Sus scrofa: one gene and its partners. The main gene of each other region encodes a partner of the protein of the gene in region 4 in a complex. Links are inferred from orthologs where the notes say so. Each region holds a gene or a part of one and is shown on either strand. Other genes may lie near its edges. The genes, in order: NSMCE4A, NSMCE1, NSMCE3, SMC5, EID3 and NSMCE2.

Region 1 (4,674 bases), on a different chromosome or scaffold from region 4:
ATCGATTCGTGGCTTTGGCACAGGGCCCTCTCCTTGGATTGAACCCAACCTAATGAAAAATACGCTTTCATGTCTTTTTCTGTTTGTTTGGAAAATGAGCTCATTTCACTAGCGGAAAGCAGTTCCCATGGCAGAGTCAAATTCGGACCAGGCACTGGTGGTATACAAGTGACATCAGACCAAGACTCTTGTCAGGCCTGTGACACCCTTTCTGCTCCCTTAGTGTTTCTCGAACTCCTCGGGGCCTGACTCCACCACAGATGCCTTGTCTGCGCCTTCATATTTCACTCTGAACGGTCGGCCAGAGAAGCTGGTCTTGCCGGCTGGCCTGTTGTCTGTTTCGCAACCTCAGAAATCAGGGCAAGGATGAACACGTGGGGAAGGGGAACCAGCTGCTCCACTGGGGTTAAAAGCGTTTGGTCTGGGGGTGTCATGGCAGAGACCCACAGGCTAGGACTCTAGAACACACCTGTCTTAGGAGGTCACAGGTCAAGCAGAGGCCTTTCCCTCTTGGACTCCCTCCACCCCCCAAAAAATGCAGATTTAAGCTACAGTGATAGATGTATCACGTAGAAACCAAGGCCGGGAGCATCGTGGTCCTTACACATGAGATCAAGGTATGCAGTATAGATGGACAGATAAGTACACATCTATCTCAGTACTCATCAGCACACAGATCCGCTTCTTTGTAACACAGTAGCTCCTACGGTGGGTACTGGAGTGTGACTCAAGGGCTATTCCCCCCAGACATGGCAGCGATCTGGTTAGGAAATCTGATCCTACACTGATACCTCTGTCTAGAGAAGTTACTGGAGGCTTCCAGGCTGGGGACTGTGGGATGAGGAAACCTTACCAGATGGGAAAAATGGGGGAAAGGACCCTGTAGGCCACAGGAGCAGCAGGTGCAAGGCTGCAGAGTAGCAAGAAAATCATGGTGGCTGCAACGTGGGCTAGATGAGGAGATAAAGTTTAAGTCATGTAACAAAAGAGCCTAGGGCTTTTGACAGAGCCTAGAACTCAACAGCAAAAAAAAAAGATTTGGACTTTTCTTTTTTCATCTTTTTAGGGCTGCACTGGAGGCATATGGAGGTTCCCAGGCTAGGGGTTGAATCAAAGCTGTAGCTGCTGGCCTATGCTACAGCCACAGCAACTCGGGATCTGAGCTGAGTCTGCAACCTACACCACAGCTGACAGCAACACCAGATCCTTATCCCACTGAGTGAGGCCAGGGATCGAACCTGCGTCCTCATGGATGCTGGTCAGGTTCGTTAACCACTGAGCCACGATGGGAACTCTTGGACTTTTCTTATAATAAAAAAGTTTGATCTTTTTGCTATAATATTCAGTGGTTCTGGGCACTGGAGTTAAAGGAAGTCTGGTTAAAAAGAGATGCCTGGGAGTTCCCACTGTGGCCCAACCTGATCAGAGGCATCTTGGAAGTGCTGGGACACAGGTTTGATCCCTGGCCTGGCACAGCGGGTTAAGGATCTGGCGCTGCAGCGGCTGCAGCGTAGGTTGCTACTTCGGCTTGGATCTAATCCCTGGTTGGGGAATTCCAGGTGCTGTGGGGCAGGCAAAAAAGAAAAAAAACAGATACCTGGCCCCACACCACAGCCCCACTGCATCTGCATCTCCAAAGCCTTCTGAGACACCGCTAATCTAGAAGCGCAGTCAGGATAGACAGATGCCCTGGAGCTGTCCACTTAAGGGAGAAAGCACTTGGTGGTTTACTCTAGAGCAGTTCTCTCCATCTGAAGGCTGCCTTACAAAAGGACCCATAAGAGCTGTCTCAGTTTCTCCAGAGGACTGAGCTAGGGAATGAAGACAGAAGCCAATTCCCATTGAGTATAAAAGGAAAGCTTTTCAAAAATGAGAGTTGTATCCGAAAAACGAACTGGGCAGTTTATGTGCCAATGACTCAAGCAGTCTTCAAATTTAGGTCAGAGATGATCCAACAGGGCATTACAACAAACAGCACTTTACATATACTGGTAGAATCTTAAGATATCTTTTGTGGGAGGTCTCATCCTCCTACATAATAAGGCTTTTAAAGATGATAAAACAAAGCCAGACATTATCCCACAGACCTCACACTAGAAAGCAGAGGAGCCAGCAGAGGGCCCTGGTAAGGAGGGGCCGGCCCACAGCCTTAATTTAAGCAGGATGAGGTCCCATCCACACCAAGATTTTATGGGCTTTTAAATATTTCCCAGGCTAGGGGTCGAAATCCAGCTGTAGCTCCTGGCCTACACCACAGCCACAGCAAGCTCGGGCACTGAACTCTGCAACCTGTACCACAGCTCACGGCAACGCCAGATCCTTCACCCACTGGGAGCGGCTAGGGATCAAACCTGAGTCCTCATGGAGACTAGTTGGGTTTGTTTCCACTGAGCCAAGCAGGGAACTCTAAATCAAAACTGAGGAGTTCTCTTGTGGCACAGCAGGTGTTGTGATCTGGCGCTGTCATCGCAGCTGCTCTGGTTGCTGCTACGGCGAGGGTTCAAACCCTGGCCCAGGAACTTCCATGTGCCAAAGTTGCGGCCAAGAAATAAAAAAAATAAACACAAAGTTTAGACTCCAAACAATGGCATCACGACCACCTACAACACCAAATACTTTCTGTCCCTACAATAGAAAACAATTTAAGGTTTACACATAGCTGGGGTATCAGATTTTTAGAATAATCTTACAGAAAGTGGAATGTATGGGTTTTATTAAAGGTGTTTTCTGCTGTTTTGCCTGATATTTTCCAGGAGTCATAGACTATGAATTCAAAGTCAGAACTGTCTTCATCACGGACGAGTTCTTCAGCTTCTAGCGGATTTACTCCCATATGTGTCAGCTACAGAAACGAAGGGAGACAAAAACCCGTTAAGCCACAAGCCGTCATTTACCACATCCAAGCATCTCTATCGCTAAACAAGAGGCCAGAGGCTAAGTCCGTTTTCCGTATCCTAACATGTTGGCTAAATTTCTTCTGATAAATTCCGATTTTTCAAAGCTACCTTCCTTTTTTTTTTTTTTGCCTTTTTAGGGCTGCATCTGTGGCATATGGAGGTTCCCAGGCTAGGGGTCCAATCGGAGCTACAGCTGCCGGCCTACGCCACAGCCACAGCAACGCCAGATCCAAACTGCGCCTGTGACTTACACCACGGCTCACGGCAACGCCGGATCCTTAACCCGCTGAGCAAGGCCAGGGATCGAACCTGCAACCTCATGGTTCCTAGTCGGATTTGTTTCCGCTGTGCCACGATGGGAACTCCAAAAGCTGCCTTCTTTTTGGCAGAAAATATGTCTCACTTCATTACCACTTCTAGTACGTACTTAGAGCTTCTGGTGAGAGAGTGAGATGGTCCAGATCAGTGGTTCTCAACTAGGGTGATTTGACCCCCGGGGGTCTTTGGACATTTTGGTTACCACAGCCAAGTCTGGAGACATCTTTATTAGTCTAATATTAGTCTAATAATTCTCTTATCTCAGGCTCTCTTACAGCAAGTGTATGGTATTAAATTTGCTCTTATGAAACACTTATTACATTATAAAATGCCTAGTTATCACAACTGGAGGGGGGGCATGGAGGGAGGCAGTGTGACTGCCATCGAGTGGGTAGAAGCCAGCGTGCTGCTCAACATCCTACAATGTACAGGACAGCCCCCCCCGCGACCAAGACACACTCAGGCCAAGATGTCCTGAGGGCTGCCGAGGCTGAAAAACCCTGTCTAGCCCCTGTGAGGGGTGCAACATAAGAACTAAGCTCCCGCGGGGAGTTTCTGATCACAAGCAGTCCATTTTGAAAGTATTAGTAAAGCTGAAACTATGCAATCACACCCAGATCAGCAGTTCCAAGACAGAACAGGGACATCTGGCTGGCGTCCCACGTGCATTTTCAGCCACCCTCCTGGAGACTGCTATTCAGCTTGTGCCCCAGCATTTCCAGAGAGCTGTGGCCTCGCGTCTGGGAGGGAATTGTTCACCTTAAAACTGCCTTCCTGGGAAGAGCTGGCGGAAGTCTAATAATTCTCTTATCTCAGGCTCTCTTACAGCAAGTGTATGCTATTAAATTTGCTTTTTTGAAAGAATGCTCTTATTACATTATAAAATGCCTAGAAGTTATCAAGGTAACATGGTAATATCGTATATAAACAGTCATCCAGAAGCCCTCAGAGAGCTTAATGCTTTACAGGCAATTTAAATGTTTGAAGAGAGGCTGCTAGAACCTGGACAGAGAAGAAAGGTCACCCTCCCAAGCCCCCGGTCCTCCTGACATCGTGTCCCACTACCACACACTTGGAAGATGACGTTTCAATTTTTGTCTGGTCAAATCTACCCATCCTTTCTTTATGGTCTTTTTTCTTTCTTTCTCCCTTTCTTTTTGTCTTTTTAGGGCTGCATTTATGGTCTTATATTTGGTGTTATACTTGAAAAGCTCTTCCCCACCCAGAGACTAGACAGCTCTTAATTTCAGGTCTTAAATGGACTGCTTTAAGACTTCTGGGATTTATTTTTGAGATGTCATTTAAAGTACCAAGCTCACCCTGAGAAACAAAAGTAATTTTTAAAAATATCACCCAATATATGGTCACCTTTACAGAGCTGTACTTTCATGTGCATTTTTCAAAATGCATTCTACTTCAAAATTAAAAAGTTTAGAAAAATTTTAAGGTTTGAAGTTTA
Region 2 (4,674 bases), on a different chromosome or scaffold from region 4:
AAGAAGGAAATACAAACACCCAGCACTGGTCCAGCTGCGCTGCTCCGAAGCCCTACGAAATTCGCAGTGTAAAGAGAAGCTGGGAAAACCACGGCTGAGACAAAAAGATGTTCACCCCCCAACGGCCAGGATAACACGGGCCGCACGAAAGACCTCAGAGCGCCCTTCTGGAGGAGAACTTCAAAAGCCCTGAGACGAGGAGAGAGGAACCAGGCAGGAGATGCCCACCGCTGCCCACGTCGGAGGAGGTGGCAGCAGTGCCGGAGGCCTGGGCCCAGAAAGAGACTTCTAGAAGGTGCCCGCGGTACCTGGATGAGGAGGCCGTGGCAGATGTTGCAGACCTTCACGGCGTCGGGGTACACCTCCCGGATGTACTGCTCCATCTCCAGGATGGCGCGGCCGTGCAGGGTGAACTCCCCTTCCTTCTGCAGGGACACGGTAGGACACGGCATCTTTTAGGAAACTGGCACACCAGGCATGCCCTTTTCCCGCCCGGTGCCTCTGCTCCCACAGCCCGAGAAAAGCCCAGAAAGGGGCAGAGGCCTGTACACCCCTCACCCCACAGGCTTTTGCCAACCCAGCCAGCGGGCATCCACGCCGGCCCCTGGCAGAGCCTTGAGCAGGGAAACTTGGGAAAGACCTGAAAGGAAACCGAGGGGGGGACCCCAGACCCCTCATCATCTCAGCGCCGTACGTGCACCTCCTGGCATCACGGACCTTGTGCAGCAGACCCACACGCGAGGTCTGCCCCAGCCCTCCTACGGCAGGACAGAGGCCAGGAAAGGGAGGCAGTGACCCCTGGGGGCGAACTCCCAGCCCAGACCCAGGTGCCCCCTCCCTCCTCTTCTCCCCCGACCCCCAGCCCCCAGGAGCAGCACTGCAGGTGCCTCCCAGCACTCCTGCCTGGAGCCTCCGCAGGGGTGGTCTCTAATTACCTCTAGCCACGCCACTTTCGGGACCACGCTAGGGCGGGTCCAGGGAGGCCCCAGGCTGCATCGTGGTGGCGTGGGTGGCAGGGCCTCTCGGTTCCCACATCCAAACAGTCCCCAGGCCGTGTAACCCCCAAACCCTGAGAAAGCCAGGAAATACAGAAACCCTTGACTGCAGTGGCTGACCCCATGGCCACCTCACAGGGAAGAGGTAGGCTGAGAGCCACCCAGAGGCAGACAGGTGTCACAGGGGTCCGTGGAAGTTTATCCGTTGAAGTCAATGAATGGCATCCAAGCTCCAAGGGGCCACACCTTCTGAGGGTTCCCCGGTCCTGGGGCCTCCCCCCACTGACCCTGCCCAGCCCACACTCAGCTGAGCCGGGGCAGAGTCCTGTCCAGGGACTGGTGAGTCTCCCATTGTGGCCAATAAAGTCTGCACAGCACAGCTCCTGGGGAAAGTCTCATTCTGAGAGGCCGTGGTCCCTCTGATCAAGGTACTGCCCCAGGAAGGCAGGTCAGGGGACCGGCCAGCAGCCACCCCAAAGTCCCTCAGCTGTTCCTCCAGAGGGCCACAGGACTCACGGCAACCCCCAGGCTGACCATTCAGAGAGCACTCCGCCCTCACGAAGGAAACACCCGAAGCCGTCACTGTCCTCATCCTCCAGACAGGAAACGGCCCAGAGACCAGAAGCCACTGCCACGGGCAGCAGCAAAGCCAGAGCACCTGGGGGCCTGCCCACCGCATCCTCTGCTGCACCGGGCCTGTTCCTTCGTCCGCGAAAGGCCCGAGGGCTCAGCCAGCCAGGGGGCTCCCCTGAGGCCTGTGGGGCTGTGGGGGCCAGGGCTCAGCTCACAGAGCCTCCAGGCCACCGTCTCCCCCAAGGTCAGGGCCGCCCCTGGAGAAGGCGGCCCCAGCATCTCCATGTCACTGAGGAAGAAGCAGAGATGACAGGAGGCTGGGCCCGAGGGCAAGCCCAGCAGCCCCCAGAAGCACATTCTTTCCTTCCCTGGTCCCCTCTCTGGGCAGCAAAGGACAGCCTCCAGCCCTGCGCGGTGACGTGACAGCATCGTGCTGGATATGCACGACCGCCTGCAGGCCCCAAGCAGGGCACAGGGGGTGAGCTCGGTGGGCGGGGGGAGGATGACACGATGACACGTGTTCTCAGCAACGTGATCCCCCATCCAAACACCGCTTCTTCCCAATCTACAAGGATTTCCGGTGTCACTGCCTCGGTATGTTTTAGATACATTGCGTTCCTCTGGGATTCCATCCTCCCGCCCCGTTCAGGAAGCAGTTACCAGGGCCTCAGGAGCACTGAGGTGCAGCCACGAGGAGGGCGCAGGCCTGGCCCTCAGGGAGCTTGCCCGAGGACAGAGCGTGGGGTTGTGACCCGAGCTGCCCCAGAACGTTCCGTGTTGCCAAATCCACCCCAGAGAGGAAGGAAAACTGTGACAAAGCAATTGACAGGGACCTGCAGTCACCCGAGCTGGGGGCTGAGCATGGCCCTGCCACTTGCCGGCTGTGGGACTTCACCCAGATCATGGGGCTGCCGTGGTTCGGCCACGGAACAGAGCTAAGGGGCTCCGTGTCGTCACAGGGCGGCCGGGAGGACCTGAGGTGCAGACGTGCCCAGAGATGCTGGCACACCCCCCACCTGCCACCCCTGACCTGGCCGCTGTGGCCTCGCCAGACCTTTCCTCCCATCAGCAAAGTCCCTCAGGAACTGACTATTTCTGGTCAGGCTGCCGGGGTCCCCTCCACCAAGAGATCGACCACTCAGAGCACTGCTGTCACCACACCAGAGGGGACCTCTCCCCAGAAGGGAAGTGAAGCATGGCGTTACCACAGCAGCAGCCTCCAGCCTCGGGCCTGACCGCTGAGTGAGGAAGTCGAGGGCCCAGCTGAGCACGTCCCGCCCAGATGGGCAGCGGAGGGGCAGGGCTGTGGGACCCAGGGCGGCGCTAAGCACGTCCGGCTTGGGTTTCTTGGAAACGGGGGTGCGTTTGTGGAAAAAGAGCGGAGACATCTGACTGCTCCAGCTGACAGAACTAGACGCAGGGCGTCTAGAAGCTTGAACCTTTCCCGGCTCCCTCCAGCTCCTCGCCTCAAGGGCCGCCATCTAAGTGCAAGAACCCAAGAGCACGGGTCCAGAAGAGTGTGATGCTGCCATTGAGAACCGTGCCGTCACAGCGATTCCTGAGGGGCCAGCAGCAGGCACCTGACGCACCTGGAGTGGATGCCACCACTCCCCTCAGTAGACATGAGGACACGGGGGACACCCGCACCGGGATTTGGGCCCAGGGCTGGTGCTCACGCTGTACCCCTACCCAGCGTGCACACTGCCTCCAGCCCGTGGACCCGGGTCACAGGCCTGGCCACTTCCAGCTGGGGCACCCTGGACAAGGTCACAGGAGTGACCAGGAGGTTCCAGGCCTCCTCGCAGGGTCACTGTGGGCATCGAAGCAGATGAGGGGCCTGAAAGGGCCTGGCTCCACAGACACGCGTGGGATCCAGGGTGGTTGGGGAGGGAAGATGATGATTCCCTCCAAAAAGTGAGCCAAGCTGGAGAATCTGTGGGACCAGGTACCTCAATGAGCCATTTGTTTTGTACAAACTTCTGCAGCACTTGCTCGGCCTCCTTCTTCCTCATCTTCTTGCCTTTGAGCTGATCGACCAGGTTCAAGATATTTGTGGAAGACGCGAAGCCGCTTTCGGAGTCGATAATGAGTTCCAGCTAGAAGAAACAGCGGGTACCACGTTCATCTATTAAATCGGCAAAAATAACTTTGAAGCAATGATACCAACCCCGACAGGGGTGCAGTGAAATTACTCACATCTCAGGCAGAAATCTAGGAGCCTTCAGGAAAACAATAATATGCATCAAAAACCATAACACATTCAGTTTTGACTCCACAGTCACTCTTGTAACGCCATCCCAAGTGAAGAGTCTTATTTATTTTGTCTTTATTTTAGGGCTGCACCCACAGCATATGGAGAGTCCCAGGCTAGGGGTCAAGTCGGAGCTGTAGCTTCCGGCCCAGCCACAACCACAGCAATTCGGGATCCAAGCTGCATCTGCGACCTACACCACAGCTCACGGCAACGCCAGATCCTTAACCCACTGTGCCAGGCCAGGGATCGAACCCGTGTCCTCGTGGATACTAGTCAGATTCATTTCCACCGAGCCACAATGGGAACTCCCCAAATGAATGATCTTAATGCCTCCCCTTAAATCAAGAAGGGTCATTTCACCTCCCTGAAGATGGAGAAGCTGAGAGTGAAACGTGAGCAGACCACGAGGCTGGCCTAAGTGACAGGAAAGCAGAGCCGGTGGGGGGGGGCGCAGCAGGAGAGCACCCCTGGCGGCCTCAGAGGCATGGTGCCCATGGTGCCAGGCCGGGGGAGGCTGGCAGGCGGGCTGCCCTATGGCTTCTGCCCATAGCAGTGCAGAGCTGCTGGGAAGACAGGCTTTCTGCCCACACACCTGTCTGGCATCTTGGAGCCTGGTTCTCAACGCTGGCTGCTCGTCGTCCCCAGGGGAAGCTTAGAAAGGAATGACCCTATGACTCAGCCCTCGAAGCCTTGAAGCCCACAGACCTGGAGTTTTACCTCCCAGTTACTACATCGCACATCCGGACTCAGAACCCCGTCTTTAACCAGGTGCTCAGCCAGGTAAGCGACAAGGTGGCTCAGTGAACAGTGACAGGGCAGCGGCTCTCAATGTCGCCATGCAAGTGCATCACC
Region 3 (5,258 bases), about 79 Mb from region 4:
GCTGGATTCTTAGCCTACTGCACCACAGTGGGGAATTCTTAGACTATCCTGCTTAAGAAATAAGAAAAAGAACCACCGAACAAACTCAAGCAAAGTAAAAGAAAATAGAAAGCAATAAATTTTCTAAAGGAAACAGTAAAGATCAATAAAACAAAAGAATTTTAAGAGTACTCTTAAGGTAAATAAAACTCCAAGGAAAACTGGCTATAAGAGGGTAAAAGAAAGGTATGAAAGCAAAAATAATACTGTAAATGCAGTGGACATAAGTGAAGATGTAACAGAATTATGTTCAAATCAAAAGAGAATACTAACTTTGTTAATACTCCAGAAAAAAATGAAAACACTTTATAGAAAATACAAGTGACCGAAACTAATTTGAAGAGAAAACCTGAACAGACTGTTAATGATACAAAATCAGTAGCAAAAATCTACCCATCAGAAACACCATTCCAAGAGCCTTTCATACATGGCTTTCCTAGAAACCTTCAAAAACATTTAATCCTTATGTTCGTGGTAAAGTAAATGCTCCCCAACTCACTTATGAGATGAGAACAGTGTTTTCGATTTCCTGAACAACTCAGTGCTAAAGCCATTGGGTGGAGCAGAGCAGGTCATTTTGCTTTGTGTGCTGCAGGAGAGGGACTGAAAGGCAAGGGCCTCAGGGTGTGGTGCTAGAGCCCAAGCTTTAGAAGGAGGGTGGATGCCCAGGGCAGTTCTGGTGGGATGTCAGCTTCCCAGTACGGAGGAAAGGGCATCCCACACAGGAGGGTGTGGCAGCCAGAAGAGACTGGTTATTTACAGGCAATTGATCAAATAATTATTAGAAGGATTAAAGGATATGAATTTCTTACTGTTCGAGAAGTTAGGTACAGATAGAACAGTACAGATAGAACAAGGGAGAAAACCATAATAAACACTACGGTATAGAATGGATATGCTATTATCAATGTAATGTCATAGTTTTCAGTAGATGATAGCTAGATATACAAATAGACAAAAAGACTAACTTTGTCATGTAGAGGGCTAGAAGCAAGGATACTTCTAGAAGGCATGAGGAAACCTGGCAACCTTGTTTCTGAATTCGTTTCCATCCAAAAGGAATCAGAGCTCTTTGGAGAAAATGGCTGAGAGGTCTGTGGCAGGGAAAATTCAAGTTAAGGCTGAATGATCTTTTTGTGCCAGAAAGTATGGAATTGCTCAAAGAATGATGGGGGCAAGTAGAAGACACAAAAGCCAGCTTTAAAATGCTCCCAGTGGCAAACAGGGACAATTTGGGTATCAAAATAAATCGTGACAATAAAAGACTATAATGAATCTATACAGATAAAAGTGAATAAACTGAAATTTTGGTGAGGAATACAATATTTACAAAATCTCTGTCTCCACACAAGTTGCTTGTTTGTTACAAAGGGAAATGGAAAATTTCAAAGTGTAGAGGAATGGCAGAAACCACCTTAACCAAAGTGATCAAAGTTACAAAATAATAGGACAAATTGAAAACTAAATAGATAATGAAAGAAAACCTTCAAAATTTTTTTTTGTTGCTCCATACCAAGAATAAAAAACATATTTAAACAAACTTTTAAGGAACAGAGCAACAACTAAAATCCCCCACACCCAGCATTGTGCCAAGAACTTCACACATATTTCCATATCTAAGTATCACATCACACACAATACAGGCATCATCAACCCACTTTACAGGTGAGGAAAAATCTGTATACATCTTAAGTAACATGCCTAATTCATATAGCTAGTTATGCAGAAGTAGAATCTGAATCCAGATAGTTTGCTTCCCAGGTAGGCATGGTTAATCACTAATGGCTTTATCTTTTCTGTAACCCACTGAAAGAAATACATTTTACATCGTGATATGCACATACACAAATAAAACAATTTCCACAAAACACTATTTACCTTAATGCTATGTAGCAAAAAGTGTTTTTTGTTAAGATGCCTGTTTTCAGTCATGAAATTAATTTCTCGACTTATGGTTAAAAAAATGCACAATGCTGCTTCAAAACACAGTATTTATTGTAACTATAGTAGCCAAAAAAGGAAAAAAATAAATGTAACTAAAAGTCAGCCACACAACCTAGTAGTAATTATCGAGGTAAAGTTATTTGGGAAAAATACAGCATGTACATTACTTAGAATGATTCATAACGCTTACATACATAAAAAATACATTCTAAAAGTAGCTATGCTAAATTTAAAAAGGGATATAGGCAATTACATTTTATAGACTTTTATTGTTTCAATTTATAGACTTTTATTGTTCCTTTCAAAGTGGGGTCGTCAAGAGGCCAGGTAAGAGCCATTTCGTGCTTTTATTTCCTTGACATCAAAGCAACTTACTGACGTGTTCTTTCTTCAATATCTATTTCCAGATCATGGTACAAAGTTTTCCAATTAGCTTTAGAAAGCTAGCGAGATTTTTATACCAAAAAACACAGACAATAAATCAAAACAAATCGTCCGTTAATATTTTTATAGGTGAAAATTTGGAACCAAGGAACTTGCAATATAAGTCGGCAAACACATCCTAAAACTACGCACATTGAAGCTTTAGCAGAAAGATGCACACACACCACACACACACACACACACACACACGCCCCCCACCCCCCCCTGGAGTCCCTCTGAGTCTCTCAGATTTCAAGAAGAAGGGGCTGGGCCACCTGTTGGGGGTCTGGCCCTGGCCTCCTCCTCAGCCAGAGCCTCACAGTACTGAGCCGGCCAGTCCTTGGGGTCCTGATTGTGGACTTTGGCCACGAACTTGAGCACCTTCATCTTGCTGGTCTCCAGGTTGGTGCGTGGGCCCCACTGGAGCTCGTAGTCCACAGGATCAGTGTGGGGGATGCGCCGGTACTCCAGATACCTCTGCCGCACGAAGTCCTCGGTTATAAGCTTCTTGGGGTCCCCGAAGATCAGGTGCTTCTTGGTGGGGTGCACCCCGAGGCGCCGCAGAAAGTCCCAGACCTCCGTCTCCTTGATGCTGTTGCCTTTCATAAAGATGAGCCCCAGCACGATCATCAGCAACCCGGTGGTAGGTGTGCCCTGGTCGCCGCGCACCTCGGCGTCCTCCTCCACCGGCTCCAGCGTGTTGACCAGGATGTAGGTGTTGCTCCGGGGCTCCAGCTCTACCAGCCGGTACCCGAACACGTACTCCAGGCGCTCGGCTGCCAGCCGGAGCAGCTCCGGGAGGACGTCTTTATAGTCTCCGACCACGTGCTTCAGGATGTCGGTGCGCCGGATCGGGATCTTCCTCTGGTCCTTGATCAGCAGGAACTGCACGAGTTCGGCCACCTTCAGCTCCAGCTGCTTCTGCGACCGGGGCCCCGGCGCTGGGGAGGCCTCGGCCCGCCGGCCGCCCTGCGAGGAAGGCCCGCGGGACGTGCTCGGGACCTCCTCTGCGCCGCCGCCTCCTCCCCAGTCCCGCTCCCGTTCTGCCTGGGTGCCGGCGCGGCCGCGACTCTTCGGTTTTTGCGACATATCGCGGCGGCGGGCCCCGGACGGCGCGGACTCACAGTAACCGGCGGCTGCGAGATTGCGGGTAGGCGCGCAGCTGGTCCCGGCGGCCCGGGGCGGGGCCACGGGCGCGAGTTCCTCACGGAGGCTGCGCGCTGCGTCAAGAGGGCTGCGCGCTACGTCACGGAGTTCGCGCCACGTCTTGTGGGTAGGTCGGAGCAGTGGCCTTTTGGCAGTCAGGAAAGTGGGGTCTTTGCTCAGCCTTGGCGGTCCCTATGGCTTCTTTTATTATAATTAAGGATTGTCCTTACCAAGCCAAGCAGATAGAGAACAGGAAACAAAGCCCCTAACAGAGCGACTAGGACTACTGAGAGTAAGTATGACGAGTTCTCAAGTCGGAACTTGTTAGGTGAAGGAAACTCCGAAGGTGAATGTGGGAGAAAAACCGCGGAGAGCGTGAAAGGAAAGTGAAAGCATTTCTTTTCCATTCAAAACTAGATGTAAAAGGAATGAAAAACCATGAGGACTAGTTTGCTTTCACCAATCCCTCCTAACCGTTTCCCAAGAGTTACTTTCTCTAAAGCCTGTTTAAAACAGTCTCTTTAAAAACAAAGGTAACAACAGACTTGCCTTTTCACTATTTCAGTGTCGATATTGTGTACATATAAATACCATCAGCTGGACAACTTCGCGAAGCCGCCCCATAAATCACGTTTAATTGGAGTGTTTTTGCTTGGTCAAGGGAGTTTATCTTTTATAAAGCACATGCTCATGAAAATCGCCTTGGTCCCACAACCAGAATTTTAGCAGAAATGGGTGAGAGAAAGCTACCAACAAAGATATGCGCTCTCAAGAGGTTGCCGTTTAATTTTAGGCATCCTGACCAAGAACTGCAATCATGGACTGCCTTAATAGATCAGCCTTAAGGGCTCAATGTGAAAGTTAGGAGAACCCAAGGGTAGCATCCCTTATAATCTATTAAATGTGCAAAAAAAAATATATATATATATATATATATACATATATATATACACACACATAGTGCAACTTTAATAACCAACATGAATTGTTTCATTAACTCAAACCATTTGCAGTCTGCTGCCTTATTTCCACGGATCTTAGCAAATGCCTTTCTTTAAAAAAATTTTTTTTCTTTCGTTTTTTTGTCTTTTTGTCTTTTTAGGGCCGCACCCATGCATATGGAGGTTCCCAGGCTAGGGGTCTAATCAGAGCTGCAGCTGCCAGCCTACACCACAGCAACGCCAGATCCAAGCCGAGTCTGCCACCTACACCACAGCTCAAGGAAATGCTGGATCCTTAGGCCACTGAGTGAGGGCAGGGATGGAACCCAGACCTCATGGTTCCTAGTCAGATTCATTTCTGCTGCGCCACAATGGGAACTCCAGCCTTCCTTTTCTATTTAGTGACTTGCAAAGAAGAAACTGAGTTTCCCATTTTGTCTTTTTTAAAGCTACCAGAAAGTGGGTAAACTCTTCAAAGAACCAAATCAAATTGAGTTCCTCTTTAATGCAAATATATTCCAAGGAAAGTAATTCAAAACACATTATTTGAATAATAGCATCAAAACACAGCCTTATTAAAATTTCATTAAATGTTAGTAGCATAAAATTTTTGTTGTAATTCAGTATGAAAATGCCATCTGATAATGGCGCAGTATTAAATGTAAAATATTCCATGTTGTAGTGCAAGTATGCTAAAATCTGCTAAACTATGAGTAATAACTTTCTGTTCCACACAAGATCTAACAATATATCCTCAAGCATCAA
Region 4 (4,674 bases):
CCCTTAACTTACACAGCCTGATGCTAACCCTGAGTGGTCAGTATGAGAATATACTGCAGTACACCAGTAGGGACACTTTAAAGCTTAGTTTGTGGTTGTTATGTTATCCTAGTTGCTCTTCTATTTTTGGGAAAGAAATGTGCAAGACTCAAAACTGCCACAGTCACTACTCTTTTGTTACTAGTTCTTTGGAATTTATCTTAACCTAGTATACCACCACCCTGCCCCCTCCCAGTTTCAATATCTCATTTCAAAGATACTAACAGAAGACTAAATCACCAAGATTACACACTAAGGCCACTCTTAGTGTTGATTACAACTCATCTGCAATTTACTTTATAAGATACAAATTGCAAAAAAACCTACTAGTTGCTGTTTGATAATAGTAATGACGATAACTTACATGGATTAAGAAAGCAGCATGAGACACTCGTTTCCAAGGGACTAAATCAGATACTCTGATTTCTTTTTTTTTTTTTGATAATTACTACCCCTCCCCCCACCAAATAACATAACATGCAGCATACATACAAGTATTCCAAATATTGCTTCCTTGTCAGCAGGATGCATTAAATTCATAAATTAAAGAGCACATAACAAACTGCATATTGAAAGGGATGATATAAGTATGTATGTTTTCAAAGTGGTCTAAATCCCCAAATAAAAAATAAAACCAAAAATTTTACCTCTGTGAGACGTAGTTGTGATGAAGCAGCCATATAATCTGACTCCAATTTGTTCTTCTTAGAGATCACTGTAGTATTTTGAAGAATTAAATCTACTTTTTGTATATGCAAAGAAGTACAAATCTAGGAATAAAAAACCCCTAAGAGTTTAATTTGTTTTAAAACTAAGAAAAATAAGTTTCTTTTAAAAAACAAAATTATAAAATATGGAAAAAATAACATTTTTCTAATATGACTGATACCTCTCTCAATTCTTCTTATAATTTTCTTCTAAGAGAATTTTTAAGTTTTCCTGTATATTTGTATCATCTAGAATAAAATAGTTAGCTTAATGAGTGCTTTTGACCAATTTAACTAATGTATACCAAGAAACGTCAAACAGAAAACTGAAATTATTGATATTGATAAAAATCTCTTGCTAAGATTTTACTATCTACTTGCACTCAAAAAAATATGACTCATATCAAGAAAATGCCTTACCTTTAATAGGTTTGTTAATTCTGTAACAAGTTTTGCTTTTTGAACATTTATTTCTTTGATTTTTGTATTAGCTTTTCTCTCCTCCTCTTCAAGGTTGCAAGTATCCTGTTCCATCAGCTTTAAACTGTATGAAGTGCATAATGATACAGTAATCAGAAAAAACACAAGAATGGAGGCCAAAGCCTTAGGTTCCCTGCTATTTTATGGGCTGTTTAGCAATGCTACTCAGATGTGTTAACTGCTAGCATTTAGATTAAACAATCATTTTATACAACCAGTCAGGATTGAAAAAAAGTATTTTTTGAGATACGTTATGTGCCCAGCATAATCTAGCTACATAATGCTAGTGCTAATGGTATAGGATCTGGAGTCAGAAAGATGATTTGAATTTCCTCTTTGTCACTAATGAGCTGTCTAACTGAACAAGATACTCTTCTGAGCTTCGGTTTTTCCATCTATAAATTGGATATAATAATAGTACCTTTCCTATAGGGCTTTGGTGAAAATTTTAAAAAAGGCCAATGACGCAGTATAATTAGCGTGTAGCCTATAACTGATAAACACTGTTTACAAATACAGTCCCTTCTGTTAAGGAGCTAAACTAGACACTTTATTCATGGCATACTACTTTTTCTTTGAAGAATGATGGATAAACTATGGTTATTCTGACTTTGGTATTAAGCAAATTTCCTTTTCCACCCAAAGTGAATGAAGCGTAAGCCTATCTTAAGTGATTAAAAAATAATTACTGATAATATTTGTTGCCAAGAGTTCCCATTGTGGCTCAGTGGTTAACGAATCAAACTAGGAACCATGAGGTTGCAGGTTCAATCCCTGGCCTTGCTCAGTGGGTTACAGATCCGGTGTTGCCGTGAGCTGTGGTATAGGTTGCAGACGTGGCTTGGATCTGGCGTTGCTGTGGCTGTGGTGTAGGCCGGCAACTTCAGCTCCGATTAGACCCCTAGCCTGGGAACCTCCATATGCCACAGATGCAGCCCTAGAAAAAGACCAAAAAAAAAAAACCCCAAAACTTGTTGCCAATGATAGGATTCAAGCTGTCAAGTAAAAATCAGAATTTTGGAAACTTTTTATCCACCACTGTGTGCTTCACAGCTTCCCAATTCTAAAGGCTCTTCTGATTAGACTGGAGATAATGTGATTCTTAAAAATATTACACGATAAAATGTTATCTGAAGATCTACATGACTTGGTGAGCCAATATTTTCCAAATGATCACTGCATAATATAATAAAGTCATTTATGGGTAAAAGAAGCACTTAAAGTAATGTAAGAGTATACAACTTCACTGATGATTTCAGATTCCATTTGCAATTAAACTTTAACTTGGCAAGCTGTGATGTAACATTAAAGAGTATACGTAACACTTGGAGTTCTCGTTGTGGCACAGTAGAAACAAATCCAACTAGGAACCATGAGGTTGTGGGTTCAATTTCTGGCCTCACTCAGCAGGTTAAGGAGCTGTGGTGCAAATCACAGACACGGTTCGGATCCCGCGTTGCTGTGGCTGTGGTGTAGGCTGGCAGTTGTAGCTCTGATTTGATTCCTAGCCTGGGAACTTCCATATGCCACAGGTGCTGCCCTAAAAAGGAAAAAAAAAAAAAAAAAAAAATGCACACACACACCACACACACACACACACACACACACACACACACCACTGAAAAGTCTATTAAAGCACTCCTCCCTTTTCCAGCTGCTTATCTATGTGAGGTCAGATTTTTTTTTCAACGCAAACATCTTAGAACCGAATGACTGCAGAAGCACATATGAAAAAACTGATTTCACCTAAAGAGATTTACAAAAAGGTAAAAAAAAAAAAATGCTACTCTTCTGCTAAATGTATTTTGTTTGGACAAACAGTTGTTTTTCATAAATATTTTATGTTAACATATAATGAATTATTTTTAATGAATTAATTTCTAATGTGGTAAATATCAATGGATGCAATCCATATAAACAAAACTTCCTTAAGGTCCTCAATAATTTATAATAGAAAGGGGTTCCAGGGATGAGAACAGCTAATGAGGGAACAGGAAAACAACATTTAAGATTCACCTACCTTGTCCTGTGTTTTGGTGGTAGAATTAAAATCTGAGAGAGAAGTGATTACAGAACTTCCCTGTGGGAATTGTGTCATCATTCCAGGGTATAACTAATAATATCCTCACAGTGCTTTTGTACCAGCCCCTGACAGCCCTTACCCCAGAACAGGCTGAAAAGATACCTTCCCAGTTTGGAATTGATTTTTTGTTCCAGTTGTCTTTTCTTGGTTTTCCTTTCAAGAAGCTCCTTCTTCTTTTGTCTAAGTTCATTATCTTTGTGTTCCAGATGTTTGTTTGTCTCACGTAAGGTAATCATCCCTGATTCTACTGCTTGCAATTTTCTATTAATTTCCTATGGAATATGCAAAATTGTTAGTATATTGAAAAAACTGTCTAGTTGAAAAAATATCAATTGGACTTCTACTAGTTTAATAATCACACTAAATTAAAATGACCAACCTTTAGCTGTTCCTCTAAGTGTCGTCTTTGCTCTAGATCCACAGTGACTGTGAGAAATTGGGCTACTTTTAGGGATGTGTTACTAGAAATAACTTTGTTTGAATAAAAAGAAGCTTTCACCACATACTTTTCTTCTGCTGTATAAATTTGTTTTAATCGGGTTTCTTGTATTACCTATAATGTAAAATAAACATTCAGTGCACATTTCAGAATGATTATATTTTTAAAAGACTAAATAAAGCACTAAAAATATGATCAAAGTGAATTTTAAAAGATCAAAACATATATTTTCATTTATGTTTTTTGAAAAATGTATCCAACATTTCAGGTGATATATTTCAGGTTATATTGTGGAAAGCAACACTAAGGAAGAGAGAATTGAGAGAAAAACCAAGACACTGAGCAAAGTCAGCTATACTTCTACTTGAGTATACAATCTCTCCCCAGTAAGTATACTTTTGGATTTCTGTTTTATCTATAGAAGAGATGCCAAGAGTCAGTAGCCCAGTTGAGTGAACTGTGATATCTCAAGTCATTTACTCTCTCCTCCCCTCAGTTATATCGTTCAGATACATAATCTTATATACTTAATTCCTGTATATTTAGGGAATACTTAATACAAGCAACTTTCCAAGGACTTCAAAGACTTTTTTGCATTTTGGAGATCTTTTCTTTCAAGAACTTATACGAGGAATTTCATACATTAATGCATATTCCAAACACCATAACATTATTGCATCTGCTTCTATGTATTTATAAAAAGGCTATTGTACTGCAGGCTTTTCCAATGTCTAAAGGTTGTTCTTGTGGCTTGTTTCTGCCCAGAAATCTATAGTCTAAATGAAGAGATAATACTTAGTTTAACGGGATATAAGCTGGCATCCACAAATGCTTAATAATTTTAAATGAAGGAAAAACCTAACTGAGATTAGCCTACCCAAATTTCATGCACATTGAAACTGGTAAGAGTGGTAAGTGCATTCTCA
Region 5 (4,908 bases), on a different chromosome or scaffold from region 4:
AAGGAGGTGATAGCACGGACTTTCCAACACTCACCTATCAGGTGAGCCACTAAGGTGATTGCTCAGCTGTTTTGTATTTATCATCCCATTTTATCCCCAGACTAGTTATCCAACCACATGGCATTCCCATTTCAGAAATAACAATAAAGAAACCCTTAGAGATTAAGAAACTTGCCCATAAGTCAAGAATTAAACCCAGATCCAAATAATTAAAAACTTCTTGCTTTTCTCAACATGATACCCAATAATTCAAAAGTACTTGTCACATACACTTCCTAAGTTTATCCTTACTGTAAATGTATGAGAATAGGTAATTATTTCCACTTAGCAAATAAAAAACCTAAGGTTTGCAGGTTCAATAATTTGTCCAAAGTCTCTGACTAGAATGTTAGACATCAGGATCTGATTGATCCCAGGTCCTTTGATCAGGAAGTTATACACTCTGTTCTGTTATACAACAAAATCCCAGTTTAAAAAATTTCCATGGAGTTCCCGTCGTGGCTCAGTGGTTAACAAACCCAACTAGGAACCATGAGGTTGCAGGTTTGATCCCTGGCCTTGCTCGGTGGGTTAAGGATCCCGCGTTGCCGTGAGCTGTGGTGTAGGTTGCAGATGCAGCTCAGATCCCGAGTTGCTGTGGCTGTGGTGTAGGCCGGTGGCTACAGCTCTGACTTGACCCCTAGCCTGGGAAGCTCCATATGCCAAGGGAGCGGCTCAAGAAATCGCAAAAAGACAAAAAAAAAAAAAATTTTTTTCCGTATTATTCTCCCAAAGTTCAGCTGACTTTATTGAACCTATGAAATTTAAATCACTCTAACTGTACTACTGGGAAACCAGCAGACTTGAGTTTGGTTCTTACCTAATCTCTAAAAATGAATTATCTATTGGTCAATTTTCCTTTTTTCTTCAAGGTAAGTAGTGGCTTAATTTCCAAGTGATGAGGCAATCCAGGTGTCATGACAACCAGTTAAAAACAGAAACAAGTGTTTAACTTAAATTCTATTTCTGGGGAGTTCCCGTCGTGGCGCAGTGGTTAACGAATCCAACTAGGAACCATGAGGTTGCGGGTTCGGTCCCTGCCCTTGCTCAGTGGGTTAACGATCCGGCGTTGCCATGAGCTGTGGTGTAGGTTGCAGACGCGGCTCGGATCCTGCGTTGCTGTGGCTCTGGTGTAGGCCAGTGGCTACAGCTCCAATTCGACCCCTAGCCTGGGAACCTCCATATGCCGCGGGAGCGGCCCAAGAAATAGCAAAAAAAAAAAAAAAAAAAAAAAAAAAAAAAATTCTATTTCTGCTGTAACTTTAGAGGAGACCCAAAGATGCCCTCCTTCACAAGCCTCCCCGTTCTCTGCTACGCAATGTGCTTTCAATCATCAAGTCGCAAACACTCCTGGTCAAGACACCTGGTGTTTAAAGAGTCATCCGGTGGTGAGCAGACCTGAGGCAAGATCTTTCTGCTCCCGTCGAGATCTTTCCCCCAAACAGCAAAGCTCTGGAAAACCTAAGGGGGCGGCTGGAAGACACACTAAAGGAAGAATCAGCCAGACGAAATGAGGCCTCCACAGCTGCTAGATCAAAGGGTGGTAGGTACTGGGAAGGGAGAGGACCCCTTCACATGAAAAAAGGGAAAGGAACGACTAGTTTAGAAAATAATAGGCCATGTCTCAGGAGAAATTCCTATGTTTGCTAAAACCCTCCACTAAGACTAAAGAACCTCTCAATCTCAATGTCATTCATTTAGCCTTTTGATTTCCCTTCCCTTACTACATGAGACGTGGCAGTAAAGTTTATCATTACTGCTAAACAAAGCAGATACTTACCCACTTACTAAATACGGTTTAATGGCAAGACCCACTACGACCCAAGATTAAGTTTCTAGAGATCAAGAAAAGCTTACAAGCATGCTCACAGCACCTTCAAAAATTGCTTTTTTTTTTTTTTTTTGGTCTTTTTTTTTGTCTTTTAGGGCTGCACCCATGGCATATGGAGGTTCTCAGGCTAGGGTCCAATCGAAACTGTAGCTACCAGCCTATGCCAGCCACAGCCACATCAGATCTGAGCCACTTCTGCGACCTACACCACAGCTCACGGCAACACCGGATCCTTAACTCACTGAGCGAGGTCAGGAATCGAACCCATGGATTCTAGTCGGCTTCGCTAACTGATGAGCCACGACGGGAACTCAAAAATTGTTTTCTTAAAGACCCAAATTTCTAACAGTAGCCTCCAAATAACAATGCAATTTATATTCTTAAAATAATTATAAGCAACAACATAAAGCCTTTTGACTTTATAAGAAGTGAAGAATATTTGGATAAATTAGTCATATATTTAAATTTAAACAAGGACAATTTCCAGGCATTTAAAGCCCTATTGAGAAATACAAAGTTGAAATGGTAACAAACATTTCAAGGCTGCAACATAATGAAACATCACTGATTCTGAGATACTAGCAGAATCACTGTGTACTAACATAAATTACAAGGGAAAAATGAGAAGCCAGAGAAGAATTTAAGTAGATAGAGATTGTAAATGGATGTTAAAATAGTTTGCGTGTGAAATAATCTGACAGAGATCTTCAACCTCTGAGGATATTAACAGATGAATGAAGTAAATCAATTTTTGCCCAATATAACATTCAAATGGAACAGTGTTCAGAAAAAGCTTATAAATCTTTCTGATACCGTAACATCTTACAATTCCATGTATTTGGCCTCCATATTTCCCTGCTAGAATACTTTTCCTATCTTTGACCAATTTCTACTCATCTCTCAGCACTTAGTTAATGCCTCACCTACTATAGTAGAGATATTCTACTTCCGCTGAGTCCAATCACAGGAGAAATTCTTTAGAATCTGGATATCCCTGCTAATTTGCTGAGTCCTCTTTGCAATGAGGCACGGCATCTGAATTTTTTTACAGTATTTATGCACTGCCCTACAGATAGTCTTTCCAGACCATTTTTTTTCACCCACTCTTTCCCTCAACCTGGTTAAGAGCCTATATGGAATTCCCTTGATTCCCTGTAGCAGAGGAAGCAATGCAGTATCACAGAGCCTCATAACTAAGTTTTTGCAATTGTCAAACACCTTTTAATTTAAAAAATTCAGAACTTCTCTTAATAAGGTCTTAAGGAACAGTCAAAAAAAAAAAAAAAAGTTTCCACAAACATGCTAGTGAATTTCTTTAGTTAGCAGAAAATCATGACAATTCTATAAATACCAAGAAAAACACATTGCACAGTACACAACTTCTGATGTTATTGATAATACTTTTTCACTTTACAAGAGATACAATGTGTGTTTTGTTTGGATTTTATTAGCCGTTTTGATATGCTTTAGAAAAGCCACAAAATACATTCTAAGAGCAAGTTATCTTCAGTATGAGTTTGTGATCATAGCCTCTGAAATTTCAAAAGTTGCCACAATATTTTTCCAGTCCTGTAAACTCAAAGATATAACCCCTTGTTTCCTGCCATGGGAACTGGGATCATTTCCCTCACCCACTTGGTTCATATTAATTGGCTCTAATATTGGCAGCCTGTCTTGGTCAAGCCTTATTCTTGCAAAACCATCCCTTATAATGAAAGAAACATAAAATATATTCTCCACAGTACGAGAAAAAGAATTTGGATCAATCACAAACTCAAAATAGGACACGGGAGTATCAGGATACTTTCTAAAGTATGTTTGCAACAATCCCAAGATTCTTTCTACTTCTTTTTCTGTCGCTTCTTGATTACTACTCAGGTCCAGCTTCCTCAGCTTTGTAGGCATGTCCCCATTTTCTTCCATCTTGTGAACTTTTTTCCGGTTTTCAAGTCGGGGCTTTCGAGAAGAAGGCTCTGATTTGAATGAACCAAAAATAAAGTGGAATGTTTCAGCTTGCAATATCCACGATGTTGCTTCCTTTTGCACTGTCTCCCAGAAGGAAAAAGCTATATTATCATCACAGTCATTCAATACATCACGTCCATCATCTTCCATCCAGTTTAGACCCACAAATATAAACAGAAAGTCACAAAATGCTACTTGATTAAAAAAGCTCATATCAGAGTTTAGCTGCTTTGCTTTTTCTTTACCCAAATCAGAAGCCAAAACAAGAAACTGCGCATCAAGCGCGGCTTCTCTTGTTCGACTCACTGCATCAAACAGGACATTGGCTTCCTCGAGAGCCTCGGTTAAGGAGTCGCTCGCCGTGTTCACTATGTCATCACGGTTCTGCTGGACGTTATAGATGAGCTGCCGGTACTGCTTGCGGATACTCCGGCATTTCTCCTCGTCCACAAGCTCCAGGAGGCTTGGGTCAATGTCGGCCTCCCCAAGGCTGAGGTCGTCAGAGAAGGCATCAGCCCCTGCCTCCCCCTCCTCCTCCTGCGCCTGCCTGCCAGAGTACGCACTGCGGGTGACGGTCACAACCGGCTCCTCTCCTTTCTCTCTGTCCCCCCACCTCAGGGAATCTCTTTCATCAGACATTTCGGGAACTGATGGCTCAGATGACGCCCCGGCAACGTTTAGGACAACGGCGGAAAATCGAAGGGGTCAGACAGAGCGGAGGAGGACGTCCGCCCATGCGCGCTAGGGACGGCCCAGAGGCCCCGCCCCCAGGTCGCCCCGCCTCCCAACAGCCCCCGCCCCGCGGAGCCCAGACCCCTGGGTTCTCAAACAAGCCCGGGTCCACGCCACGGAGAACGCGTGCTCGTGGGTCTCAATTGTCTCAATTCCCGCAGTGGAGTAATACCGGTTCAAGCGCTGGATAGTTACTCCGGCGTTTACCGACAGTGTCATCAAGCTTTCATTGGACAAAATTAAGGGAGAACTAAATGTCCTGAGCTTTAAAAACATTTGCTGTCACTGCAGCAGCGTTTTTTCTCACTGTAATTAAAAAGTGGGTTGTTTTTGTTTTGAGA
Region 6 (4,674 bases), on a different chromosome or scaffold from region 4:
CCCCATTTTCCCAGAGAATTAAAGAAACAATAATCATGACTCCAATAATTATCATTTTGCTGAATTATATATTCTTAACTAGAAAGTGCTCCCCTGTAAGTATATAATTCCAAAAATCTTTATAGTATAAAGTAGGAAGAAATTTCTATTTTTGGATATTTGTCCTTTAATCTATATTATAAAACATCTAAAAAAATCAAGAAGTACGATCAGATGCTAAATCTGCCATACTCTATGATTATTGGCTCCAAGTAGAAAAATAAAATACACTTGGCTTTTTTGGCCAACACCAAAACAGCAATCACTAGCATCCTAAGACCAGAAAGGCACTAGCTAATTATTACCTGTTTGGGAGATTATTACTAGCCATTTAGGGGAACAATGCAAATTATGTTAGAGAGATTTTGGTAGCTTGCGTTGTTCAAGGACAAAAAAAAAAATTGACTTAAAATGTGGGAAAAAATGCTTACTGTTTAAATCTACAGTAAAAGCAAAAGTCTCATCATGATTGCAAAACATTCCAAATTGTGAAACTTGAGTTATTTGTAAAATAGACAAAAGTAAAGCAGCTTCCTCAGTCATTTTTTGAAATCTCAGCATCAATTTAAAGAAAATGCTTATATTTAAAAGAAAGCCTATTTCAAAATATGAATCCCTATCCTGAGTACATATAAGAGCATGAAGTAAATTCACATATCATGCACTCCTGTTCCCCACGCATGCAGATGAAGGTGATATTAAAGTGCAAAAAAAGTTATTTGCTTCTTTATTCCCTAAGGAAGAAAAGAACCTCAAAACTAAAAGAACAATCGATGCTAGTGTAAAGTAAAAACAATAAAATCAGATAAAACTGTTATGTGGATTATATGGAAAAAGAGGGGGGGGGAGAGGGACATATGTACTTCACTGTATAGGAAATACATATTTCTATACAAACTTCTTTTGGATACCCCTAATTTCTTCCACTCTCATTTTTCAATCAAAATTATGTTCATTAAAAATCTCAGTTTAATAAATTTTCTCAGGAAGACAACAAATCTAAGAAGCATGTGGAATTTATATGACTACCAAGAGAGAGAAGGGATCAAGAGAATTTTGGTCTCCTGTTTGACCAAAAAAAAAAAAAAACAATTGCTCCTACTCGTCTAAAGCAGCAAAACTAGAATCAAGGCATGGTCATTGTAAAGCTTGGCACAGCAGTTTAAAATTTGAAAAAATACCATTGTTATTTTAATAAAAGTGCTTTCAGTTTTACATTCCCAAGTCCCCTCCCCAGCAGTGAGACAACAGTGTGACTTTTCTCTACCTGCTGAGGAATTTTCTTAGCACTTTGTGGAAACTGTTGGCTTTCAGAAAGGGACAGGCTGATGTGAACCAAAAGTTAAGGCAGAATACAGAATTGCAGCAACAATAAAAAAGCAATTTAGAAAGAGGGTCAAGCCAAGCAGATAAGCAAACTCTATAAAAAATCAGTTTTCTGTGAACGTTCATCCAGTTCCCTAATTTCAAAAAGCCAAACCAAAGCAAAGCATGCTGACTTACATTGCTTCTTTAGTTCTTTCAGCTGTTGTTTAAACTGCACAAATTTTTCATTATTTTGAAAGTCTGCCTCGGAATTCTCATTCTGTAAAGCCAAAAACTTCTCCTCCACTAATAATTTTAGATCGGGTATTTTTTCTGGACGTTCTTCTTTTACCTGAGGAAGACAATAACATCACTTTATTTAAATGTTAACGATGACACGGTTCCCTCATTTCATTCAGATAAAAATATAATGAGGTAGAAAAGAGAATCCCCCCCAATCCCATAACAGAAAACCAGAGAGGCTGGGACGCGTTCCAGAAAAGATGGCTAGTAAACAGCGGAGGGAATCATTCATCCCAGGTACCCTTTGCTGTCTTAAACCACCCCTTCAGGGCCCTATTAACCTGTTGTCTCCTGACAACTACCACGGAGTGGGGGGGAATCTCACACTGGGGCAACTGTGCCCTCTACCTTCCCCGGAACCTGAGCACAGTGGCTTCCTCCTCTTCCTTAGGCTTTCAGAGTAAGGCTTCCTCTGGCTTAGGTCTGCTCAGTCCCCTCTCCTACTACGAGAGAGCATTCCATCCTTCATTCTCTTTTTTTCATTCTTTTTGGAGCCACACCTGTAGGATGTGGAAGTTCCTGGGCTAGGGGTCAAATCAGAGCTGTGGCTGCTGGCCTACACCACAGCCACAGCAACAAGGGATCCAAACGGCGTCTGCGACCTATACCACAGCTCACGGCAACACTGGATTCTTAACCCACTGAGCAAGGCCAGGGATCGAACCTGCATCCTCATGGATACTAGTCTGATACCCGCTGAGCCACAAGGGGAACTCCCATCCTTCATTCTCTTAAGCACTCCTCTTTCTCAGGCCCTTGTCCCCAGCAAGTGAGAGGGGTTCCTACTTTACAAAACAAGGTGAGGCTTTAACCTTGAACTCCCACCATTTGCTGCCACAAGGAATAAATGCCCATTATTCTGTTCAAGGCTAAACTCTCAATCTTTATTTTATTTATTTATTTATTTATTTATTTAGTCTTTTTGCTATTTCTTGGGCCGCTCCCACGGCATATGGAGGTTCCCAGGTTAGGGGTCCTATCGGAGCTGTAGCTGCCGGCCTACGCCAGAGCCACAGCAACGCGGGATCTGAGCCGCGTCTGCAACCTACACCACAGTTCACGGCAACGCCGGATCATTAACCCACTGAGCAAGGGCAGGGATGGAACCCGCAACCTCATGGTTCTTAATCGGATTCGTTAACCACTGCGCCACGACGGGAACTCCTCAATCTTTATTTTTTTCCCCCTGCTAATAGTTTGAAACATGCAAAAACATGGAAAAAATTGTATTTTACCATTCACCTACCTCCTAGACACCACAAAAATTCTGCTGTTTTGCTTTTTTTTTTTGCCATTTTTTGGGCCACTGCCACAGCATATGGAGGTTCCCAAGCTAGGGATCTAATCGGAGCTGTAGCCGCCAACCTATACCACAGCAACGCCAGATCCAAGCCACGCCTGCGACCTATACCATAGCTCATGGCAACGCCGGGTCCTTAACCCACTGAACAAGGCCAGGGATCGAACCTGCAACCTCATGATTCCTAGTCGGATTCTTAACCACTGAGCCACGACGGGAACACCTCTGCTGTTTGCTTTATCACACACCTACCCATCCATCTTCAACCTTATTTTTTTTTTTTTCACTGTAACCATTATCTTTAATACACAGATACAATCCCTAAGGGCAGATACACAATAACATAAAATAACAAGTATTTTCCCCCTTTTTCATTCTGTGACACTAATTTCTTTTATTCTATCACACAATTCTTTGGAGCCAGAAATAAGAACAGTACACTGCCTTTGTAACCACTTTTCAATGTGAAGCAGGAGGTGCTTTAGTTTATTTTTCTATACTTTTAAAAATCCTCTTTTAGGAGTTCCCTGGTGGGTCAGCGGAAATAAGGATCCGGTGTTGTCACTGCTGTGGTGTGGGTTCAATCCCTGGCCCAGGAGCTTCCAAATGCTCAATGCAGCCGAAAACAAACAAACAAATAAATAAAATCCTTTTTAAAAAATTAAGATGTAGTTTACGCACAATATTTTTTAAGTTACAGGTGTACAGCACAGTGATTCTCAATTTTTAAAGGTTATACTCATTTCTAGTTATTATAAAATATTGGCTATATTCCCTGTTGTGTTTAGCAATACCGAGTGTTGTCTTCCCCAACACAAGAACCTCAAGAGAACTGCTATATGCACATAAATTCACTGCAGCAAATATCTTCTCGGGAAATGTAATGCTGCAGTTGGCATCATCTGCAGCATCTGTTTGCAGGTCTGCTGCAAAGAGAACTCACTGTACTCTAGCTATCAAAATGAGAGCCTGGAAAATATTAAACTCATTGTCTGTCTAAATCAGTGCAATAAATGGGGATTGACTATTATTTTTAATGGTTTCTGGCTGTGTGTATCTTCAGGATAAATAATCCCAAAGGGGAAAGAAAAAAGTCATTATTTGGAGTTCCCGTCATGGCACAGCAGAAACAAATCTGACCAGTATCCATGAGGATGCAGGTTCAATCCCTTGCCTTGCTCATTGGGTTGGGGATCCGGCATTGCTGTGAGCTGTGATGTTCACTGGTGCCTAGTACTCTCTGTTGTACAGTAGGTGCTCAAATGATGTGGGCGAACTAGCGAATTACACGGATGCTGAATACTACCGTGTAGACATAAGAAGAGGGACCATAGTTCCCTCATTTCATTCAGATAAAAATATAATGAGGTAGAAAAGAGAATCCCCCCAATCCCACAACAGAAAACCAGAGAGGCTGGGACTTATTCCAGAAAAGATGGCTAGTAAACAGCGGAGCGAAGTGAATAAAGTTTTGGAGCAAGGGAAGGAAGAGATGGGAAGCAGCTCCTGGGAAAGAGAGAGCAAAAGAGACGTGTTTATTTGTAGAGAGGTTAATAGTAGCTTGAAGCAAAGTTGACATGATGGAGGAGAATGAACAGGGACCTTGGGATCAAGCAGGTAGGTCTGGGTCCACCCTAAATGGTGGATTTGGGGACGATTCTTCCAGGTCCTCGATTTCTCTCATTTCTTAACTAGCGATCAGGAAGACCCACCGCAGTGCCATGAAG

The links.
Region 1: SMC5 (region 4) and NSMCE4A share a complex: the UniProt entries of both Homo sapiens proteins name them as parts of the SMC5-SMC6 complex. The link is inferred for Sus scrofa from reciprocal best matches to the Homo sapiens genes SMC5 and NSMCE4A.
Region 2: SMC5 (region 4) and NSMCE1 share a complex: the UniProt entries of both Homo sapiens proteins name them as parts of the SMC5-SMC6 complex. The link is inferred for Sus scrofa from reciprocal best matches to the Homo sapiens genes SMC5 and NSMCE1.
Region 3: SMC5 (region 4) and NSMCE3 share a complex: the UniProt entries of both Homo sapiens proteins name them as parts of the SMC5-SMC6 complex. The link is inferred for Sus scrofa from reciprocal best matches to the Homo sapiens genes SMC5 and NSMCE3.
Region 5: SMC5 (region 4) and EID3 share a complex: the UniProt entries of both Homo sapiens proteins name them as parts of the SMC5-SMC6 complex. The link is inferred for Sus scrofa from reciprocal best matches to the Homo sapiens genes SMC5 and EID3.
Region 6: SMC5 (region 4) and NSMCE2 share a complex: the UniProt entries of both Homo sapiens proteins name them as parts of the SMC5-SMC6 complex. The link is inferred for Sus scrofa from reciprocal best matches to the Homo sapiens genes SMC5 and NSMCE2.

What each region holds. Positions count from the first base shown.
Region 1 is NC_010456.5:131,598,696-131,603,369, forward strand, and holds part of NSMCE4A (non-structural maintenance of chromosomes element 4 homolog A), read right to left. Parts: intron 4,077-4,674; exon of another isoform or gene 2,843-4,076; coding exon 2,691-2,842; intron 50-2,690; coding exon 1-49. UniProt on the Homo sapiens protein: Component of the SMC5-SMC6 complex, a complex involved in DNA double-strand breaks by homologous recombination. The complex may promote sister chromatid homologous recombination by recruiting the SMC1-SMC3 cohesin complex to double-strand breaks.
Region 2 is NC_010445.4:19,643,905-19,648,578, reverse strand, and holds part of NSMCE1 (non-structural maintenance of chromosomes element 1 homolog), read right to left. Parts: intron 3,665-4,674; coding exon 3,518-3,664; intron 426-3,517; coding exon 309-425; intron 1-308. UniProt on the Homo sapiens protein: RING-type zinc finger-containing E3 ubiquitin ligase that assembles with melanoma antigen protein (MAGE) to catalyze the direct transfer of ubiquitin from E2 ubiquitin-conjugating enzyme to a specific substrate.
Region 3 is NC_010443.5:144,470,426-144,475,683, forward strand, and holds the start of NSMCE3 (non-structural maintenance of chromosomes element 3 homolog), read right to left. Parts: upstream 3,602-5,258; 5' UTR 3,496-3,601; coding exon 2,659-3,495; 3' UTR 1-2,658. UniProt on the Homo sapiens protein: Component of the SMC5-SMC6 complex, a complex involved in repair of DNA double-strand breaks by homologous recombination. The complex may promote sister chromatid homologous recombination by recruiting the SMC1-SMC3 cohesin complex to double-strand breaks.
Region 4 is NC_010443.5:223,628,934-223,633,607, reverse strand, and holds part of SMC5 (structural maintenance of chromosomes protein 5), read right to left. Parts: intron 3,863-4,674; coding exon 3,689-3,862; intron 3,582-3,688; coding exon 3,412-3,581; intron 1,291-3,411; coding exon 1,167-1,290; intron 810-1,166; coding exon 687-809; intron 1-686. UniProt on the Homo sapiens protein: Core component of the SMC5-SMC6 complex, a complex involved in repair of DNA double-strand breaks by homologous recombination.
Region 5 is NC_010447.5:80,220,050-80,224,957, forward strand, and holds the end of EID3 (EP300-interacting inhibitor of differentiation 3), read right to left. Parts: 5' UTR 4,475-4,908; coding exon 3,377-4,474; 3' UTR 1,285-3,376; downstream 1-1,284. UniProt on the Homo sapiens protein: Tissue-specific component of the SMC5-SMC6 complex, a complex involved in repair of DNA double-strand breaks by homologous recombination.
Region 6 is NC_010446.5:14,517,310-14,521,983, forward strand, and holds part of NSMCE2 (E3 SUMO-protein ligase NSE2), read right to left. Parts: intron 1,697-4,674; coding exon 1,543-1,696; intron 1-1,542. UniProt on the Homo sapiens protein: E3 SUMO-protein ligase component of the SMC5-SMC6 complex, a complex involved in DNA double-strand break repair by homologous recombination. Is not be required for the stability of the complex.